Linked DNA regions of Rhinolophus ferrumequinum. The protein of the gene in region 1 interacts with the protein of each later gene in a pairwise test. Links are inferred from orthologs where the notes say so. Each region holds a gene or a part of one and is shown on either strand. Other genes may lie near its edges. The genes, in order: ZC3H12A and AHSP.

What was found.
Region 2: the proteins of ZC3H12A (region 1) and AHSP interact in binary tests that used the Homo sapiens proteins (3 or more experiments, as listed by UniProt). The two-hybrid records come from large-scale screens. The link is inferred for Rhinolophus ferrumequinum from reciprocal best matches to the Homo sapiens genes ZC3H12A and AHSP.

Annotation. Positions count from the first base shown.
Region 1 is NC_046292.1:26,175,383-26,179,295, forward strand, and holds the start of ZC3H12A (endoribonuclease ZC3H12A), read left to right. Parts: upstream 1-1,421; 5' UTR 1,422-1,546; intron 1,547-2,359; 5' UTR 2,360-2,439; coding exon 2,440-2,834; intron 2,835-3,913. UniProt on the Homo sapiens protein: Endoribonuclease involved in various biological functions such as cellular inflammatory response and immune homeostasis, glial differentiation of neuroprogenitor cells, cell death of cardiomyocytes, adipogenesis and angiogenesis.
Region 2 is NW_022680357.1:35,566-38,044, forward strand, and holds AHSP (alpha-hemoglobin-stabilizing protein), read right to left. Parts: upstream 1,710-2,479; 5' UTR 1,595-1,709; intron 1,430-1,594; 5' UTR 1,426-1,429; coding exon 1,351-1,425; intron 1,135-1,350; coding exon 931-1,134; 3' UTR 785-930; downstream 1-784. UniProt on the Homo sapiens protein: Acts as a chaperone to prevent the harmful aggregation of alpha-hemoglobin during normal erythroid cell development. Specifically protects free alpha-hemoglobin from precipitation.

The DNA.
Region 1 (3,913 bases):
GAAAGTCAAGGAAATGATCAGCACAATTAGAAAGGCTCTTTAGGATGAGGGGAGGAGGATGCAGGGGAGGAGGCACACAGAGGGTCTGTTTTTTAAGTTCGGTGATAGATACATGGATGTTTTATTATTATTATTATCTGTTAAGCTGCCCATGAATAGACTATACGGTGTCTTTTACAATAAACAATTCTTAGGTACAACACTAATACCAACCTTACAAGATACTACCTATGATAAGGCGGAGAAAATGTAAGTAAAGTATTGGCTCACACAGGATACACTTGGTATTGAGTGCTTTGGCTCCCTGGGCCTCAGTTTTCCCATTTGCAAAGTGAGCTGGTAGCACTGCCAAAAACTGGTCGTTTAGCTTGTGGGTTCTCTGTTCCGTTTGTACACACACACACTTGAGCGCAGGTCCCAGGCCTCACCCTTCCACCAGAAGAGTCTCCCCTCTTCCCTAGGTCACTGGTGGTTTCAAAGTGGTAAAGGTGGCTGGCAGCTGATGCCCTGGAATGGGAGCTCTTGGTCCTGGTTCCAAGTCTTTCCAGCTGGGGCAATTAGCCTTTTCTGAATTTCTCAAGGGTAAAATGGGCATAATAACCTCTGTCTTCTTCCTCACCTAAGCCCACGGGTACATATTGTAAAGTGCTGTGCTCAGTGTGGGATCATGACTGGTTGACCTGGGAACCTAAAAGCATTCTTGTGGAGGGGTGGGTGGCCTCTGTGAGTTTCAGAGCTGTGTAAGACAGCATGCTGTGAAAACTCACATGGCGACTGGTGTAAACGCACGTTCTTTGCCTGGTTTTCCGCCTCCTAATTGTGTATCTGCTAGTTCTACGTACCTATCTTTCTATCCTGGTAAGGTCCTCATTTCAGAAAACTCCTGGCCCTGAGTGCAGCTCAGGGAATCTGTGTACCTGCTGTATGTAGTCACGGTGTACCTGTTGAGTGTTCCTGTCTCGATCTGAAAAGTGCCTGTCTGAGCGTACCTGTCTTTATGACTAAGAACCTACCTCCAACGGTGAGTAGACCATCCTGTGTACCTGATTCACTCAATGCGTCTCTGACTGTACCTTAGTCAGTCGTGGAGTACTTGTCAAGTATCTGAACGTACGTGGCTGTACCTGTCCTTGCATCTATGTACGCATCTCAGTCAGTCGTGTCTGGTTCAGCCTGTGCTTACCTTCCGCATGCGGGCCGTGCACTCCCGCCCTCCTCATCTCCTCTCCGCCAGGGCCTGGAGACCTACGGAAGGGGCTGCCTCCCCTGGTCCCCCGCCCCTATTCCCGGCGGGGCCCTGAACGCACAGCTGCGCGGGGGCGGGGCAGGGGCGGGGCAAGGCCGAAGGCGGGGCGGTGGGGCGGAGCAGGAAGGGGCGGTGGCCGCCCCGCCCCCTGGGTCGACTTGCTCCTCCCCTGCCCGGCTTCCGCGTCAAGGTCCTTAACGCAAGCTCTCCGCCCACCGCCCCGTATAAAGGCGCCGCGGGCCTTGCTCCTGGGACTCGGCCCCATGGAGACGCCACCTGCTGCGGCCGGCGCACGGCGGGGTGAGTTGCGCGCGGTGGTGGGGCAGGGGCGAGGGCCTCAGACTGGGCAGAGGAGGGGGCGGGGAGGGCTGCGGCTGGATACACCAGACGAGGAGGGACGTAGGGCCGATCCTCTCCGGCCTTGCCTATCCTCAGACCCCTTCCAACTTAGCCCAAGTTGAAGGAACCTAGGGGAAGGGGTACCAAGCTCCGGAGCTCGGAGCTGGGACAGCCTCCGCGTCACCGAGGTAGGCGGCCAACCAGAGTTTCCCAGCAACTTTTCTCGCCTGTGGGTCTCCCCGGAAAGTTCTCCTCCCCCGGTCCAGGAATCTGGCCACCGGCCCTGCGCCTCCTGGGCCTGGCTCCGTGAGCAGGGCGGGCAGGCAGAGGCGATGGCCTCAGTGGGGAAGCCCCCGCCCCCCACACACACAGACGCAACGCACTTCCAGCCCGGGGTTTCCATCCGAGCGCCCCGCCCCGCAGCTGTGGGAGTGCGGCGAGGTTCTCTGAGACCTCCCGAGATTTGTGGGTCCCCAGAGTTGTTGTGGGACTGCGCTTGGGATAGAGATGGAGTCAGACTTCCTAAGTTCAAATCCTTTCGTCACCAGCCAACAGCCGGATGACCTTGAGCAAGTTCTTAATGGCTGTGGCTCAGTTTCATCCTTTGTACCATGCAAACGATGATCCCTAGCTGGGAGCACTTTTGAGAGGACTAACAGAGGTAACACAGGAAGATGGATTTGCACAGTGTCACCAGTGTTGCCTCATCCTGTTGGGTGGGGCGGATGGGAGAGAGCCATTCCCCATCCCTAATCCTCGTGGTTCTTCTACAAGGAGCTGTGACAGGTGCCTTCCACCAGTCTGAGTTGTGAGTGGCCGGTGGAGAGAGGCCCACCCAGGAAGCCAGCCCCGCCATGAGTCTGTGGGAACTTGAAGACAGTCACAGCTACCAAGGTACCCCCAGGTCGGCCCAGGAGCCCCCTGCTGAGGAAGCAGCCACTACCGAGCTGCAGATGAAGGTGGACTTCTTCAGGAAGCTGGGCTACTCATCTGCTGAGATCCACAGCGTCCTGCAGAAGCTGGGGGTCCAGGCGGACACCAACACAGTGCTGGGCGAGCTGTTGAAACATGGGTCAGCAGCTGAGCGGGAGCGCCAGGCCTCACCAGACCCCTGCCCTCAGCCCCCTCTGGTCCCCCGAGGTGGGGGCACCCCTAAGGCTCCCATCCTGGAACCCTCAACCCCAAAGGAGGACAAGGAGAGCAGTGACCTAAGGCCGGTGGTCATCGACGGGAGCAACGTGGCCATGAGGTACGTGTCACTTCTGTGGCCAAGATGTGGCCAGGAATGGTGGGTCTCTGCACCTCGGGTAGAGGGGCCTTCGGAAAGGAGTTGACCTCTTCTCACACACTAGTCTAGAGGAAGGAAAAGCTCCTTATTGAGGCCCTACTGCGTGCCAGCAGGCTCCTGTCATCCTTGGAAGTGGGTTGGCTAGGAATGTTTTAGGGATGAGAACGGGGGCTCAAAGACTTGCTCAGGGTCACACTCCTGGGGAGCGGTTGAGCAAGGATTGCAACTCGGGTCCTCTGTCTCCAGAGCTCCCCTTATGCCCTTTGTCTCTCCCCAAGGGCAAGCACTCTCTGTTCTTTCCTGTGACATGAAGCAGTACAGTGGAAGGGATCAGACTGGGCTCCCGCTCACTCCTAGAGGAGCCAGGAGTCACCTCCTCTCTGAGCCTGCGTTCCTCCTCCATCTGTTAAGACAGGGCTAACCCAGCCCCCGGTTGTGAGGAGTGAATGCAGTGCCTGCAGAGGAACTGCTCAGGAAACAGTAATAGTAGTTGTGAGTACAGTTATTCAGGGGCTGGGGCTTCTGAGGCCTATCTCAGACTTGGGCTCGCATGGAAGCAGGCCCAGCTATGGAGGCCTTCGTAGTTGTGACCAAGCGTGACCTCGAGGACCTGGCTCTGTGTGGGAGATATAAACGGGTGGCCTAATGCTTTGGTGTCAGGTGAACTGTGACTTGGGTCCATTCTGATTTGGCTAGAGCCACCTGGGCTGGACTGGGCTCTGGGAGCTCCCTAGGGCCAGAGCCAGGACCCAATCCCAGTACTCCTCCCCCCATGCTTTAACAGAATGGGGTGGGATGGGGACAGGGTTGCTCCTGACCCCAGACAGCCCAGACCCCTGTTCAGTCCAGGCTCTGCCCTCCAGCCTTCTTTCTCTCAGTCCCTCTAAGGTGGGCTGGTGAGTCAGGCCTGGCATATCATTCACAAGGAAAAGTTCCTGTGGGCATGGACAGAGAGACTCCAGGCACAGAGAGTGGAGTGCTCCTTCACTTTCTGCTCTCCCGGATCTGCCTGGTGGGCTGCTTGAGGCCCCGAGGCCCTT
Region 2 (2,479 bases), on another chromosome or scaffold:
AGCCGCGAAGGCTCCGAAGCTCCCCACGGCCCGAGGCGCCTGGGTGCGCGACAGCCCCCACCACGAAGGTGGCCAACTTGGCCGCGAGCGGAGTTTGGCCAAGTACGGCCGGACGCCTCCTGGGAAGGGGCGGAGGGGCGCGCGGGGTGGGGCACAGCCGGCCTGGGTCGTGGGCGTGGGGTCAGCCCCCACCTACGCGGGCGGCGCGGGCGGCAGCCGGACCGCTGCGCAGAGGAGGCGGCGATCGGCTTCCGACCGCGGGTCCCAGGCAGCCCGACAGCAGCCCGGGCCCCGCACTCGCAGCCGGCGTGAAAGTTCCCCGCGCGCTCGCTGCCAACATCCACCGGTAGCTGCAGCCACCCGCAGCCGCAGGACCGCAGGCGCGGGGCGGAGGAGGCCAGGCGCCCGGCGGACGCAGAGGACGGAGAGGCGGGGAGGGCAGCGACCGGGGCGCCCCAGCCTGCGGTGACCCGCGCTTGTCGGCCCTGCGGCCGCTGCTGTTCCAGGCTCGCAACGAAGCAGTGACACCCGTAGGCCGCGGCAGAGAAGCCCCGGGCCCAGAGAGCCCGAGCACCCCCACCCAGGGAGTCCTCCTGGGGCGCCCGGGTCCCACCGGTCAGCCCCGCGATGCAAGGGGCCACCTTGCCCTCTCTCTGCGCCCTGGTTAGGAAGGGGCACAGGGCTGAGATGGAGACTCCAGAGGCCAGAGCCGCTTTTACAGGCGGTCTGAAGGAAAAGGGACCAAGTCAGGGACAGACAATCAAAGAGCCAGGAAGACCAGCAATACCAGTGTGGGCCTTTATTGGGGTGTCGAGGTGGATAACACCAAGAAGGCGCAGAGCCTGAGGACTTGAAGGGTTCAGAGGCAGGATTTCAGGGTTTCTCGCAGACGCAGGCCTAGCTCTCTGGGCCAGGAGAAAAGCTTGGCGCTTACAGAGACTTCAGGAAGGCCTTATACTTGTCCAGGAAAGGGGCGCACAACGTTCTCAGCTGTTGCCGCAGCTCCTGCACAGCCCTGTCCCGCTCCTGCTCTTCTCCCACCACATGTTGCCTGTAATAGTTGACATAGAAGTTCACCCAGTCGTCCAGTACAGTCACCATGGCTTCTTCAGTGATTGGAGGGTCAGTGAAGACCTGGGGGGTGGGGAGGGTGGATAGTGTGGTCAGCAGTGTCATTCAGGAATAACCCACAAACCCGGACACCCTCTTCTCTCTGTATTCCCTGTCTCTAGTTGTTTCTATCAATTCCACCATTACTCTCTCTGCTCCGAATTATCCTCCCTTCTCTGCCCTCACCCACCACCATCTACCACCCCAGGCCTGTCCTTTGGAATAGAATGCCTGGCTTACCTGCTGATTCAGCAAAACATTAAATTCCTTCATTCCTGTGGAAATGAGATCTTTATTAGCCTGAAGAAGCGCCATCTGCCTGTGCAGAGAAAAACAATTTAAGTATCCTTTCCCCTCATCCCTGGGTATTTCCCCCAGTTCCCCACTCCCCCTAAAGATTCCTGGTAACCTGCAGGACGACTTCCCTCAGATACCTTTCAAACCCCGCCCTGATTTGAAACCACCTTCTACCAGGTTGGCTCACCTTCAGGTCGCAAGGTGCTTTCACCCACACTTTTCAGGATATGTATGTCCTTCTGTGCCAAGCTAGATGTAGGTGAGGAGTAAAGTGTCAGCCTCAGAGGGAAACGCCCTGCATCAGGGTCTGAAGGCGGGTGATAGGTCAAGCATGGGAGGGGAAAGGAGGGAGAGGCTTCCCTGAAGTTAGAAAGATAGCAAGGCTGGGAAACAACAGATAAGTGGCGAGACGCGGAGAACCAGACCAGGGACAGACCCTTGCCCTCTGCCCCGCACCCCACCATCCAGGCACCAAACGCTAACAAAACAAACATTACCTGACCCCATTTCATGACAGGCACTTTTAAATCATCACTACATTGTGATGGCAATTATTGTCCCAACACCTAGGTGATATATTAATAACAGTTTACATTATCTTTATCATTTATGCCAGGCACTGTTTCAAGCATCTGTTAAAGTATTTATCCTTATAAAATACCCTATTACGCAAGCAGTCACATTTTGCAAACGAGCCATCTGTAAGACATGAGGACTGAACTCCACCAGGCTGTGCTTTGCAAGGAGACATATTTACCTTGTTCTCTAATATATCATCAGGTATTCGACAAAACAGAAACATCTTTTTAAGTAGTTCCCTACTGTTTTCCAAATTTCAGAATTATCATGTACTGAGATACATGAAACAATACAAAAAAGGTGTATTTTATACTCAGAAAAGGTGATCATCTTTGCTCCCTCCCCCTACAAAGTAACCAGCATTAAAGATTTATTTCCTGTCACATCTTTCAGCACTCAAAAACCAACATTCATAGGCACCTATTAGACGTTTGTTGATTTGCTTTTTTGTTTATAGCATTTTCTTAGTTAACATATAGCAAAATTGATCTCT